Linked DNA regions of Tamandua tetradactyla. Each later gene encodes a partner of the first gene's protein in a complex. Links are inferred from orthologs where the notes say so. Each region holds a gene or a part of one and is shown in the gene's direction. Other genes may lie near its edges. The genes, in order: RIPK3 and ZBP1.

Evidence for each region.
Region 2: RIPK3 (region 1) and ZBP1 share a complex: the UniProt entries of both Homo sapiens proteins name them as parts of the AIM2 PANoptosome complex. The link is inferred for Tamandua tetradactyla from reciprocal best matches to the Homo sapiens genes RIPK3 and ZBP1.

What each region holds. Positions count from the first base shown.
Region 1 is NC_135340.1:30,329,408-30,336,909, forward strand, and holds the start of RIPK3 (receptor-interacting serine/threonine-protein kinase 3), read left to right. Parts: upstream 1-4,156; 5' UTR 4,157-4,344; coding exon 4,345-4,361; intron 4,362-4,568; coding exon 4,569-4,709; intron 4,710-4,891; coding exon 4,892-5,201; intron 5,202-5,648; coding exon 5,649-5,794; intron 5,795-5,894; coding exon 5,895-5,941; intron 5,942-6,150; coding exon 6,151-6,315; intron 6,316-6,420; coding exon 6,421-6,488; intron 6,489-6,704; coding exon 6,705-7,052; intron 7,053-7,184; coding exon 7,185-7,245; intron 7,246-7,502. UniProt on the Homo sapiens protein: Serine/threonine-protein kinase that activates necroptosis and apoptosis, two parallel forms of cell death. Necroptosis, a programmed cell death process in response to death-inducing TNF-alpha family members, is triggered by RIPK3 following activation by ZBP1.
Region 2 is NC_135327.1:27,816,158-27,823,884, forward strand, and holds the start of ZBP1 (Z-DNA-binding protein 1), read left to right. Parts: upstream 1-4,430; 5' UTR 4,431-4,586; coding exon 4,587-4,620; intron 4,621-7,048; coding exon 7,049-7,273; intron 7,274-7,727.

The sequences.
Region 1 (7,502 bases):
CTGAACTCTCACTTACTTGATTCCATTGGTCAACATATGCCAACCAATGCCACACTGTTTTGATTACTGCAGCTTGGTAGTAAAGTTGGAAATTGAGAATTGTGAGAGCTGAACCAGAGAATCAAGCAAGGATGAAAACTACTGCCACAGAGAATCAACATCTCAAAACTCTCTGATCCTCTCCAGCAGCTGTATTCTTGTGATAAATCCCTCACTTGCAAGAACTCACCAAAGAAAACCCACCTAACCCTACCCTCAACCCCCTTTAAAAATGTCTACTCAAATCCAGGCAGGCAGGAGTTGATTTCTTGAATCACCTCTCTTTGTGTTCCCCTGCTAATAAAACTTGCTTTTCCCACTGCCAGTGTCATGTCTCTGTCTCTGCTTCACATCTTTGACCTCCGCCCAGCCCAGGACTTTCAGGAAGTATAAGTCCTCCAACTTTATTCTTCTTTTTCAAGATTGACTTGGCTATTTGGGGCTCCTTGTCATTTCATACAAAATGTGATGATTGATTTTTCCATTTCTGCAAAGAAGGGTGTTGGAATTTTAATTGAGATTGTGTTGAATCTGTAAATTGCCTTGGGTAGTACTGACATCTTAACAATATTAAGCCTTCCAATCTATGAACATGGGATGTCTTTCCATATATGTAGGTATTCTTTAATTTCTTTCAGCAAGGTTTTGTAATTTGGGGAGTACAAGCCTTTCACCTCCTTTGTTGAATTTATTCCCAGGTATTTTTATTCTTTTGGATATTAAAATAAATGGAATTGTTTTACTTGATTTCCTTTTCAGATTGTTCATTGTTGATATATAAAAACAACTGATTGTTTGCATATTGACCTTGTACCCTACCACTTTGCTGAATTCATTTATTAGCTCTAGTAGCTTTGTTGTGGATTCTTTGAGATTTCCTATGTGTAAGATAATCTTCAAGTAGAGATAGTTTTACTTCTTCTTTTCTAATTTAGATGTCTTTAATTTCTTTTTCCTGCCTAATTGTTCTAGCTAGAACTTCCAGTACAATGTCAAATAGCAGTTGTGAAAGCAGGCATTCTTGTCTTGTTCCCAACTGTTCTAGTTTGCTAGCTGCTGGAATGCAATATTCCACAAATGGAATAGCTTTTAAAAAGGAGAATTTAATAAGTTGCAAGTTTATAGTCCTAAGGTCACTTAAAGAAATTCTATAGAAATGTCCAATCTGAGGCATCCAGGGAAAGATACCTTGGTTCAAGAAGGCCGATGAAGTTAAGGGTTTCTCTCTTGGCTGGAAGGGCACATGGCAAAGTCTGCTAGCATTCTCTTCTGGCTGCTCATTTCATGAAGCGCCCCAGGAGGCACCTCCAAAGGTCACTGGCTGATGGACTCTCTGCTTCTCATGGCTATGTCATTCTGAAGCTTTCTACAAAATGCTTCCTCTTTTAAAGAATTCCAGTAAAGTAATCAAGATCCACTTGGAATGGGTGGAGACATGTCTCCACCTAATCAAATTTAATACTCACTTTTGATTGAATCACATCTCGGTGGAGATGATCTAATTAAAGTTTCCAGCATACAGTACTGAATAGGGATTAGAAGAAATGCCGCCTTTACAAAATGGGGTTCGGATTAAAACATGGCTTTTCTAGGGTACATAAATCCTTTCAAACCAGCATACCAATCTTTGGGGAACAGCTTTCAGTTTTCACCATTGAGTACAACATTAGTCATTGGTTTGCATTTATGTCCTTTAGCATGTTGAGGAAGTTTGCTATTCCTACTTTTCTGAGTGTTTTATCAAGAAATGGGGCTGAGTTTTGTCAAATCCTTTCTTGAGTAAATGAGATAATCATGTGGGTTCTTTTCCTCTATTCTATTTATGTGGTGTTTTATACTGATTGATTTTCTTATGTTAAACCACCTTTGCATTCCTGGCATAAATCCCACTTGCTCATGGTGTATAATCCTTTAAATGTACCATTGGGTTCGGTTTCCTAGTAATCTGTTGAGGATTTTTACATCTATATTCATAAGGGATATTGGTTTGCAATTCTCCTTTCCTGCTATGTATAACCAGATCCTCTTAATCTAACAAGAGATGAGCATCAGTTAGTATTAGAATATGCAAAAAGACAGATCACACCCTCCTGCCCACCCCCACCCCAAATACACACATCTTATATACAGGGATTGGGAATCAGACCAGGCACTAGGCATGGGCTAAAGGTAATCAGAAACTATCAGGAGCAGAGAACCAAAGAGGATGAAAAACATCTAACACTGCCCCCAAAGCCTGGGGCTACTGGGGTCAGAAAACCAAGCCTCAGGAAAAGCCAGAGCTCCAAAATCAGGAATCAACTCTCTCTTGGTTCACCACCACCACCACATCACCACTGGAAGCAGAAGGCACTCATTCTAAGCTCCGCTACTCACCCCTCCTTCTCTGAAAGGGGTTCCATTTATTTTGAGTCAAAAAGTAACAGAACCCTGATTCCACCTCACCCCAGTGTCCCACAGTAGCTTTTCCCTATCCTCAAAGTCTTGTCCCAATCTAAAGAGACTCAAGCATTAAGAGGTCTTTAAACACAATTCTAACTCCCTTCTGCCTGCTCCTTTTAAGTGGAACTATTGATCCCAGGGTCTTCTCCTGAAAAAAGAATCACCAAGGGAGTGACTGTGGTTCTGCACGGCTCCCAGCTTCTGACTCGAGGCTTTTTTTTTGAGGACCTGCTGTTATTCTTGTCTTTGGATTCAATATTATATCTCTATAATAAAGTCTGTTTCAGACTAATTTCATCAACTGTGCAAGTGAGAGTCCCCAAACCATAAAGGAGCCCAATCTACCCTCTTCCCAATGCATATGGAGCTGTAGCTGAAATGATCAGAGACTTAAGGAAGCTCCCCAAATTTTGCTTGTTCATTCATTCACTCAGTCATTGTATTTAGCCAATAATTATTGGGTGCTTACCATATACTGTCTTGTAAAGAAACTATGGTCTAAGAAGTAACCTCAAGGAATTCCTAAAATAAAATTGTTCCAAAGCATGGGCAAATCCCACCAGAAACCATGGTGTACATCTTGAAATTTCCAATTGCTCTGGAAGCCACAGTTAACTGCTGGGCACTTCTTCTCCAACTAACAGAGCCCACAGACCACTGGACAGGATGTAAAGTGCATATCAAGGTGAGCCCTCCAGGGTTGAGTCTTCCTACAATCTCTATCCATGGCCAGGCTACCTAAATACTTAAGGCTTCCTGAATTCCAACATTCTCAGAGCCTGGAGCCCAGAACATGTGCTTGTCAGGTATACGAACTGGTCAGGGGATTTGCATGGAGAAGTTGGCATGAGGGTAGGGAGGACTCTAAGGTGTTTCCACTGCAGTGGACACCACAATGTCAGCAACTCTCTGGCTGAGCTAATTCATCTAGACTGACCTCAATGCCCTGGGAGTGAGTGGGTTTTGGTCTCACCAGCTCCAGGAGTCCCAGTTTACAGTTTACAGAGCAGACAGATCACTACCAATGTTGGGTGCTTGCCTCAGCAAGAGCAGCTATCAGGGACTGGGCAGACTACAGATGGGGACCCTTCACTGTCTTAGTGGACCTTTCATACCTTCCCCAGACACTTTCACCACCAGCTGAGGGGTACAGCCCTGAAGCTACGTGAAAATAAAGTAACTTGACAGTTAAGAGGCAGGAGCCAGTTTCCTACTGGCTTGAGCGAGGAACTTAAGGTGGCTCAGTTTCCTCTTCCATAAAAAAAGAAATGGATAAACACAGTGCCTAGCCCCTTATGGTTAATGTGAGAATTAAACAAGCTAATATGTGTGCTTGGCACAGGGTGAGTATTACAGAAGTCTTAGCTATGATCTTAGGGCAACTGTGGGAGAGCTGAGCAGCAGGCCCATAAAACCCTTCTAAGCACTGCCCTGCAGGCCTGGCAAGTGGTGGAGCTGGGAATCTCCTGGGAGAAGGGAGAGACCCAGCCGGTAGGACTGAGGGCTGACTGGGGATTCTTGGAAGGTGACGACACCTTCTGCAGCACCTTAAACGCCCAGTGACCCCTAATAAGGACCTGGCATGCAGCAGGTGTTCGAGGAAACACTAATTAGAAAAAACAAAAACTGCAGTAGCTTTAGTTTTGCTCCACCCCCGGGGCGGGACTCTGACAGCGAGCCTGTCGGGGAAGGAAGTGTGCTCACTCCTTCCGTGTAGCGTAGCGGAAGAAACCCTGGAGGCAGAGTCCCTGCTGGACCCAGAAATTGACCCTTTCCCAGCCCCCGACCTCCCCTCCTTCCCCCCACGTCCGGCTCCCGAAGACCTCCATCCCTGCAGGTCACGACTTCCAGAAGCCCAGCCTGATGTCTAGCGGAATATGGTGAGAGGGGCGTGGGGGTGTCGACCGGGCACACTGACTGTCCAGCAAGTAGGGCGCCGGGCGGACACCTTCGGGAGCACCGTGGCGCCCCGAATCCAGGCCGGGACAGACGGAGAGGCGGGGGGAAGGGCTACTGCACGGAGGAGGGGAGGGCGCCGCGCCGATGTGGGACCGTGGCCGCCTGGTGGACGAGGCAACCTCATTAAGGTCCACAGGTGCCCCTGCCCCCAAGGTGTCCTTCGAGGAATTGGAAAACCCGACGCTGGTCGGCCAGGGCGGGTTCGGCGTGGTGTTCAGGGCCCGACATAAGAAGTGGGGCTACGATGTGGCCCTCAAGCTGGTGAACTCGTGAGTGACGTCGGCGTCGGACAGCACCGGGTCCTGACCTAGGAGGCCCGAGATGCTGTGCCCTGCAGCCTGGGAGAGGGAAGGCGGGGGCGGGGAGGAAAGGGATTGGGGGGAAGGGGAGAAGAGCAGAAAAATCTCTCCAGGATGCTGGGCCCACTCAGCACCCTTCTCCTGGCCTGTAGGGAGACGTTATCCAAGGAGGTGAAGGCCATGGGCAGTCTGCGTAACCAGTTTGTGCTGCTCCTGCTGGGGGTCACTGAGAAACTGAAGTCTGCGTATGGGTGCAGGCCGGCTCTGGTGACTCGGTTCATGGAGAACGGCTCCCTCACAGAGCTGCTGCAACCCGGGTGCCCTCGGCCTTGGCCGCTCCTCTGCCGCCTCCTGCAGGAGGTGGTGCTGGGGATGTGTTACCTGCACAGCCTGAACCCCGTACTCCTGCATCGAGACCTCAAGCCGTCCAACGTCCTGCTGGACTCTGAGCTGCACGCTCAGGTCAGCCCACACCCATCCTGCCCCACAGCTGCTTCAGCTTGGGCCGGTCACACAGACCCTGTGCTGCCCTAGTTCACTGGAGCCCTGCAGACACAGTCCTGTTCAGGGGTCGAGGCCCACCCAGGAACTTCCACCTCTGTCCTACCAGGAAACAGATCCTGACCCACCCCAGTTATTTCCTCAGGCATCCCCGCCCCTTCAGTCAGTCCCCACAAAGAGCCATGACTGACCTAGCCCAAAAGACTCAGGCCTTGATCTGGCCCCATCCAGTAGGAGACATAGTCTTCCAACCCAATGGCCCCATTGACCCTCCCCTTCCTCTGACCTTACACACACCCTTTACAAGGCAGGAGCTGCATCTACTGTTAGGAGTAGAGTGAGCAGGAAGGTGCATTGGAGGCTGCCTGATGCCTTCCCCTACCTCCTTCTTTTTCCCTTCCTTTGCAGCTGGCAGATTTTGGCCTATCCACATTTCAGAAGAGTTCAAAGTCAGGAAAAAGTTTCAGCAATCCAATAGGCACCCTAGCCTACCTGGCCCCAGAACTGTTGGCTGATGTAAACCAGAATCCCTCCACAGCCTGTGATGTCTTCAGGTAAGGTACACACCCCAAACATATCCCAAATCTCAACATCTTTCTGGGAGCAGGGTGTTGCCAGTGGCTGGGCCAAGCCTCAGGTTTGTGTCTTTTGCAGCTTCGGGATCCTCATGTGGGAAGTGCTAGCTGGAAAAGAAGCTGAGAGTAAGACTCTAGGTGGACTCCAGGATCCTTAACTCCATATGCCCTCCTCCCTCAAACCCCCAAGCCCTTCCCTTCCTGCTCATCTCTGCACATTGCCTTATTCATGCCTCCCCTCCCCACAAAACCCTTGGACCATATTCCCTGGTGATTTTAATGATGAAGCAGGTTACCCTTCATATCTCTTCCCTCCCCCTTTCCCTTTGCCCCAGTGCCCAAGACAACACTGATGAAGATATTAGTGTGTGAGGAGCAGAGCCGGCCCTCATTAAGAGAGCTGCCCCAACCTGGGCCCAAGACTCCTGGCTTGGAAGACCTGAAAGAATTAATGCAGCAGTGCTGGAGCCACAAGCCCAGTGACAGGCCCTCCTTCCAGGGTGAGCTAACCATTCAGCTAGCACGAGGGGCAGGCCTGGCTCTCACTGCAGGCTTTTCCCTGGGAATGATGTTTAGCTCACCTAGCCATTTTGCCATTTCTCCAGACTGCCAACCAAAAATGGCTGCAGTCATCCTTCAGGTGCAAGATGAGATGGATGCCTCTGTCTCCATGGTGAGCCCCCAACCCCACCCAGGGGCTGGTCAGGGAAAGCACATTATGGTCTCCTTGGCCACCAGTGACTTCCCTTTAATGACAGTTCTGTATATCCACTCTCCCCACCTTACCTGCAAATTCCCAGGTAGCAGAATATGACCCAAGACTACTTCCTCTGCTTTACACTCTGGTTCTCCCATTTCCGTGCATGACAAGCTCTTCCTGTCCCTACAGGTGAGGACATTTCTGTCTGAGCACAGGGGCAGCAACAGAAGGGGTTCTGCCCCAAAACTGGGCCCAGGAGGGATGGAGATGGATGGTGCTGGAGTTGATCCTATGATCTCTGAATTCCTGAACAATCTGCACCTGGAGGAGGACCCCAGCTCTGATCCTAAAGAATATGTCAAATTTACTGAGGGAATCAAGCCAAAGGAAGAGCAGGTTCAAGAAGCCAGGTCAGCAGGGACATCCTCAGATTCAAATGCCCGACCTCCCCAAACTCCAGAGAGTTCATCTTTCATAAACCAGATGCCCAGCCTCGCTTCGAACTGGGCCTCAGGTCCTTGGCCCCAAGAAAACCAGGTAAGACATCGGTGGGTCTAGGGAATGGACTGAGACTTCCTGTGAATCTTGTCCTTTCGCCGGACAAAATTTGGGGCTGAGGGGGATGTATAGTGGGGGAAACAGGCCTGAAAAGCTCTGTATTGTCTGCAGGGGGCTGAGAAACAAGGCAATAATTGGTCTCCCTTGAACCATCAGACAAATTCAATTCCAGGTACCAATCTCCCACCCTCTTCTTTCCCTTGCTCAATTTTTCCACCAGCTTATTCCTCAAGACTTATAGATACCAAGTAACTTGGTGAGAAAGGTGTTTAGAAGTCATCTAACGTGACCTCCTCCTTTAATAAATGAGGAAGTTGACATCCACTGAAAGAGGGTCTTGCTGAGGTCACACAGTAAAGCTTAGATTTGCTGCTGGGGCTTCTAACTTGACCCAGCACCAGCACCCCTAAAGTCTATTGTTGATTTGGG
Region 2 (7,727 bases), on another chromosome or scaffold:
TACATTGTAGCAAGTAATTACAACACAGATTCCAGAGTTTGGTATGGGTTACAGATCCACAGCGTCAGGTTTTTCCTTCTAGCTGCTCCAAGACACAGGAGGCTCAAAGAAATATCAACATAATGTTTCAGCAGTCATACTCATTTGTTAAACCCTATCTTCTCTGTTTTAATTCCTCCCTCTCCTTTGATCCTTCTCCCAATCTTTAGGGATATTTGGACTATGGCCATTCTAACTTCTTGTTGATAATATGGGATAGAGGGATGGAACTAGTTGATGTTCTTGGAGAGGCTGGCCCCTCTGGGTTTCAGGACTTATCTGGCCTAGGTGCCCATCTGGAGGTTGTAGGTTACTGGGAAGTAATCTTAGTGCCTGAAACTTTGTAGACTCTCAGATAAAATCATAAGTGTCCTTTAGGGTTAATAGGAATGATCTTGGCTGGAGTTTGGCAAACCGTGGTAATGAGCAATATCTAGCTGAAGCTGGAGTAGCCTCCAGAATAGGCTCTTGACTCCACCTGAACTCTTTTAGCCACTGATATTGTATTTTGTTCCATTTCATTTCCCCCTTTTGGTCAGGAAGGCGTTGTCGATCCCATGCTGCCAGGGTCAGACTCATCTGTGGGAGTCAGGTCCCACGTTGCCAGGGAGACTTTCACCCCTGGATGTCATGTCCTGCCTGGCAGGGAGGGTAATGATTTTCCTTGTAGAGTTGGGTTTAGAGAGAGAGAAAGACCAGATCTGAGCAGCAAAAGAGGTTCTCTGGGTGTGACTATTAGGCATAAGTATAGGTCGGCTTAGCGTCTCTGATACAGAAATAAGCTTCATAAGAGCAAACCTCAAGATCAAGGGCTTGGCTTATTGACTAGGGAGTCCCTAATGTTTGACACAATATCAGGGGTTTCCCCAGTGGTAAAGCTTAATAGTTTCATATGTTTTCTCCAGTTTTTCAAGGGGCTTTGCCAGTACTTTTTTTTGGGGGGGGGCATGGTTCAGGAATCAAACCTGGGTCTCCTGCATGGAAGGTGAGCATTCTACCACTGAACCACCTGTGCACCCCACTTGCCAATACTTTTTCAATATATATGTCCTGCCTTTCTTTTTTTCTTTGCATGGCAAAGAAAAAACCCAGGTATCCTGCATGGCAGATGAGAACTGTCTGCTGAGCCACCACGGCCCGCCCTTGCCAATACTTTTTAATTATCTGCCAACATATTCTGGATTGTATTCTGGTATTATGTCAAGCTATACAGTCTTATAAGCTCTCATTTCCTTTCTGGGCTCCATATGTTTGGGTTGTTTAAATGAGTGATCCAAACAGGTTGAGTTAGATTATGTGCTACAGAAAATGTAAGTTTTGGACAAAATAAACCTCCCTTCCTTTGGTCTCATATAGTAGGTGACGTTCTAAAATGCAATGTCACCCTTACCCCTGTATTCTGATTTACCTTAGTCCTGACCAGCTTGGCTTCATTCTTATCTCTAATTGAAGCCTGATCTCTTTATTTCTTAGCTTCTTGAACAGTTGCTGTAGGTAGCACTGCTGACTTGCAGAGCTGCAGAATTCCAACTCAGTCTCAGGTGTCACACAGGTTGCCCAAATTCCAGGGAGATACCAGGTTATACATAAATACCACAGCATCTCAAAACCTAGAAATAACATTTACAGCTCTAGACTAAATGTGACTGCTGTAAGAGTTTACAATTTAAGCCCTAATTTTCTTATAAGTATTTTCTAAAAGAGACCGTACAATATTTTGTTGTTGTTGTTTCTGGCTTATTTTGCATAACATTATGACCCCAAGGTTCATTCACCTCACTGCATGACTGCATTCCTTTCCGTAGCCATACGATATCCCATCACATGTACATACCACAGCTCTCCGTTCTCAGTGTACCCTTCAGCCACCTCCATCCATTGAGGATCATGGGTAATGTCCAAAGTCAACAACCCCTGCTTCACATTATCCTCACTTCACTGCAGGATCATCAACACTCTCAATTTTAGACAATTTTCATTGCTCCAAAGAGAAAAATAACCAATAGACACATCCTCACTGTGCCAGTTTGAATCTGTGGTGGACCCCAGAAAAGCCATGTCTTTTAATTCTCATTCAGTATTGCTGGTTGGGAGCATTTTGATTGTTCCCATGGAGATGTGACCCACCCAATTGTGGGTGGTAACTTTTGATAAGATAGCTCCATGGAGTGGTGACTCCGCCCATTAATACTTTAAAAGAGGAAACAGTTTAGAGCCGCGAGAAAGCCACAGCAGAGCCTAGCAGAGCCACAAGGTTGAGAGAAGTACAGAGTCCATAGGCCAGCAACCTTTGGAGCTGAAGAATGCCCCTGGGGGAGCTTCATGAAACAAGAATCGGGGAGAGGAAGCTAGCAGATGTTGCCATATTCCCAACATGCCTTCCCAGTTGAGTGCAAAACGCTGAACCCATCAGCCTTTCTTGAGTGACAGTAACCTCTTCTTGGGGTCTTAATTTGGACATTTTTATAGCCTTGCTTTAATTGGGGCATTTTCTTGGCCTTAGACCTGTAAACGTATAACTTATTAGATTCCCCTTTTTAAAGCCATTCTGTTTCTGGTATATCGCTTTCTGGCAGCTAGCAAACTACAACACTCACCGAATGGAAAATCCAAACCTTCCCTTAACTCTTGTCCTCCCCACCCCCCAATTATTTACCCCTGGCATTGCTGTGGGACTGTTGATGTCTTCCTGTTAAGTATAGACCATAGTATGCAATGGCAATGTCCCCCTATATCCCTCTATTATTGACCCTTTGTACAAGATTCATACCTTTGAAGTAGTTCATGCAAGAACTTATTTATATTTGTAGTGTTAATCAGTGGGATACGTGGCTCCATACGACCCCTTTCAATCATGTTCACCCTCAGTACGGCAGTATTACTTATAAACCCACTAATGAACTGCCATTCCCTTACATTTAAATTCAACCTCACTAACTGCTCACCCATCTCTAACTTCTATGTATCTCTAGGTCCCCTATATCTTATATTATAAGCCTCTGAGTTTGCCTTTACCGAGGTCATAATAGCAAAATCATACAGTATGTATTCTTTAGTGTCTGGCTTATTTCACTCAGCATTATGTCCTCAAGTTTCATCCATGTTGTCATGTGCTTTGGGATCTCATTTCATCTTATTGCTGCATAATACTCCATTGTATGTATGTGCCACATTTTGTTTATCCACTTGTCTGTTGATGGACACTTGGATTGTTTCCATTTTTTGGCAAATGTGAGTAATGCTGCTATGACCACTGGTGTGCAAATGTCTGTTTGTGTCACTGCTTTCAGCTCTTCTGAGTATATACAGAGTAGTGGTATTACTGGGTCATAGGGCAACATGATATTTAGTTTTCAAAGAACTGCCAAACTATCTTCCATAGTGGCTGGACCATTATACATTCCCACCAGCAGTGCATAAGAGTCCCAATTTCTCCACCTCCTCTTCAACATTTGTAGTATCCTACAAATTTGTTTAATAGCAGCCATTCTTGTAAGTGTGAGGTGACGGCTGAGTTCTTAACCCTCTCGGCTGCCCACAAGACCCTTCACCTTTCTGGATCTCAGTTTCCCCTTCTAGAAACTAGAAGAGAACAGTGGCTCTGAACTGTTTTGGGGTCATTGGCTCCTTTGAGAATTTGTACACGCAATAGTTTCTCTTCGGAGAGAAATGTATTTTGGCACCTTAGGATGGACGGATTTGTTTTCACTGTGACCCAATGAATTAGGTACTTTTATTAATCCCACTCGACAGGTGAGGAAACCAAGGCCCAGAGAGGTTAGATAACTTTCCCAAGATCACACAGCCAGCAAACTGTGGGACTGCTCTTGAACCCAAGCAGCCGGGCTCCAGGCTCGCATTCCCCAACACCGAGCAATAAGGGCCCTGGGGGTGGTTTTCTATTCTGTGATCCCCAAATTACTCGGTAGGTTCTGTGGCGTGGCTGGGAGCCTGATGTGGTTCTGTGGGCTGAATGTGGTTCACACAGGACTTCAGGAAACACAGCTGGAAGACAAACCACGAGGCAGCCAGGCTGTCTCTGCCAGGTACTGTCTTTATGACCTCTCTGGCCTGTGCCTCGTCTCCTCTCTGAGACAAGAGGACAGAGCCAGTCTGGGTGAGATAGAGGAGCACAGGAGATCGGAAAGCACATTGTAGGCGCTCATTCGAGAGGGCTGTCACCTCGGTACGCATGTGAGCACCCACCCAGGTGTCTCAGCCTGGGTGCCGGGGTTAGGGAGGTCGGGGCGAGCAGCCAGGTGTGCAGGCGGCTCAGGCAAGGGCCCAGGGCTGCTCACTCCGATCCAGCCCCACCCAGTGAACATCTGCCCTGCTGGTTGATCCTGCAGTTTTATTTACTTAGAAAGTCAACCACAGAAGTTTCATTTTCTTTTTCATTGGGTTGGCCGGAAACAGAGGGGGCAGGCCTCCATTTGCAGTGTGAGGAGCTGATAGCAGCAGCTGAAGCTGACCTCCCACCCGTGACCCGGCACCCACTCCCAAGGCCAGTGCCAGCTCCCCGCAGTCTCTATCCCGCTGCTGTCAGCATGGCCCAGGCCGCTGCGGACACAGCCACCAAAGGTACAGTAAGTTCTTCCTTCCCAGGAGAGCGGGGCTCCCGGGAGGGGACATGCACTTCTCTTTCTGGCCCAGATCACGAAGGTAACTGTGGCACAGGAACCAAAGGCCGGAGCAGCAGGACAGGGCCTTGGGGGCGCACCTACGGCAGGGCTCCCCCAAACAGCCCTCAGGCTGGGCGCGGGGAGTGCAAGGATTCCTGCCGAGCAGACAAGCTGACGGGGCCAGGCTCCTGAGCTGCAGGGTGACTCGGGGCAGCCCAGCCGGCTAGCGTTAGAGGCAGGATTTGAACCACCCCCTCTTCATACTCATGTTGAGAAACAAAGAACTACCCACGTGTATGTTTTCTCCCGTTTCCAGCATCCCCTCAGTTAGTTTCACTCTGAGAAGAGTAACAAATCCACTGTACTGGGCAGTTGTCTGGGGCTGTCTGCTAAGCGCCCGTGGCCTGTGGGCTGAGGGTGCTGCTTGGGGTGACCTCATTCCATCCTTGCCACAAACTTTGAAGCAGATGCTGTTATTAGCCCCATTTCACAGACAGGGTAAACCAAGGCACAAAGCGTCCACACAGCCAGTAGGCAGCAGAACCAGGGCTCAAACCCAGGAAACCCATCACCAGAGGATAAAAAGGAAGAAAAGAGAGAGTTGGGAGGGGGCTCGGTGGGGTGCAGCCCGGAGCCCCGGCTGGTCCCTGAGCTCATCCTTCCAGGGGTTGGGAATGCGCTGGCCTCTCCCATCTTCCTTCTTCTCCGGTTGATTTTCCATCTATCTCATCATTTACATCTGGTCCATTTTGCAACACAGCAGGCTGGAACGGGGTGCCTTCTCCTTCACCCACGTCTCTGACCCCACCTCTTGTTTGGGGTCAGGGTTGGGGCTGGGGAAGAGGGAAGTTGAGCCAACTTGCTGGGCAGACTCTTTAAGAAGCAAAACTCTTGTCAAGACTGCAGCCAGTTTGCTGGGATTTCTGGCCCACTGAGGCTGTGATTTGGGGGTTGATGAGGTGGTGCTTCCAGGTTTTCTAATTGCTCTTTACCTGAACCCAGGGGTGGGGTCTTTCTGAAGGACCCTGCTTTGAACTTCCTCAGGGTTCTTGGGGTTAAGAAACTTCCTGGTGACATGCTGGGCGGCCCTGAACCGGCTTTCTTGCTGTGCTGTCCCTGTCCCTGCCCCTGTCACGGCCCCCTGACCTGTTTCTGCCTTTTACTATCCTTCTACTCATTTCCCTGAGTCTGATTCCTCCTTGCAGAGCAGCTGATTTTGATTTTCAAGAACCTGCCCCAGGAGGAGCAGGGGCCTCTGAGAGTCCCTCCATGAGCCTCGTAGTGTTCTGCTTAGGGCTCACTAAACTCAGAGCAGGAAACTGAGGCACATACGGACTGGCCCAGGGGAGCTGCTCATGACCTGCCCCTGGGGCATCAGGCAGATGTCTGTACAGGTGGAGGATAAATTTATTCACTTACTCACTTATTCACTCATTCACAACTCATTCATTCAACCGTCCTTGGCTCTAGGCTAGTCCGTGATGGTACCAAGGTGAGTCAGGCCACTGCAGTGGGGGGGTCTGTGGGGACACTCTGTAGGGACCCACATATAAACAGCAGTCTAGGATGGTTTCCCAAAGGAGATGGCATCTAAGCAAGACCTGGGATGTCGAGTAGGCTCTGGAGGCGGGGTAAAGAGTGATCTTGACAAAGGGAACAGCACGTGCCAAGGCCCGGGGGTGAGAGGGACTGAAAGGAGCACTGTCAGGTTGGTGCGTGGAGCAAAACTGGGGGCGGTGGGGCAGTAGGCCGAGCTGGAGTGTGTGGGTCTTTCAGGCTGTGGGAGGAGCTGGAATCAGACTCTGGCTGCTGAGCCAAGGGGAACCCCGCTGGAGATGGGGGCTCTGGCCAGGAGCCCGCTGCTGTCACTCAGGCAAGAGACCTGGGCTGTGGGTACAGCAGAGAGAAGTGCAGGGATTCAAGGGGGAACCTGGCAATGGGTCTCTCCAGGACACCACAGTCACATGGGCACTGGGAGAAAGATCATTCCCGAACGCCTGCCAGGGCCCTGGCTTGGGGGAGTCACGATCGACCGGGTTGCCGAGTTGGCAAAACCACGCAGAGGGGCGGATTCCGCAGGGAGGACGACAACAGGGATCAGAGAATGCCACGTCGTGGGGCGTGACAGGCGGGGACTGCCGGCCTCTCCCCCCAGCACCCGTGCCCCTTCCCCCTGCCTGAGAACAGCTGAAAGCTGCCTTCCCACCTGCCGTGGGGCGCTCACATAGGGCCCTGCCTGGAGCCCCTCCCTTCCCAGGCCACCAGCCAAGGCTGTTTGGGAGCAGTCTGCCTGCCCCGCACAGCGGGCAGAGGCTGCCCGGGCCTCTGTGCCCTTCCTCTGCCCGGGCCCCCGTTCTCCCAGACCGCCCTGCCCCTTTCTCTCCTAGGGGACCTGGAACGGAAGATCCTGCAGGTGCTGCGGGACGCGGGCTCCCCCGTGAAGACTGCCCAGCTGGTGAAGGAGTGCCAAGTGCCTAAGAAGGAGCTCAACCACCTTCTCTACCAAATGGAAAAGGAGTCCAAAGTCGCCCTGGCGGCCCCTGCCACCTGGCACTTGGGCAGGACTGGGTCTAAAGTGGCAGTTCCCGCAGCGCTGGCAGAGCCCAGCGGCGGTAACCTGTCATCCCGGGGGGAGGGGGAGGGGGAGCCAGCCTCAGCCCGGACAAGTCCCATTTGGGCCCCATTGACCTGGGTTCAAATCCAAGCTCTGCCACTAGGGGGCGTGATACCCAGTCACTGTGCTTGATTTCTTTTTCTGCTCAGTGGAGGTGACTATAGGGCTACTTTTTGGGAGAGAATTAAAAGCAAAGGGCTCAAACCCAGTGCCAGTGCACAGGAGGTGTGCAACAAAACATTACAAATAATGACAGAAAGTGATAATGATAACAATGATAGAATGAATCATAATAAAACAAAGTTTGCATCACACTTGATGCAAACTTTCCAGTTTTACAGCTGATGGAAAAACAGCACTAACATTTGGTAAATACTTAAATGGGCTGTCGCTGTGCTCAGAGATTCAGACTCATTCGTTTTAACCTTCGGAACAACCCTGGGTGGGAGGGA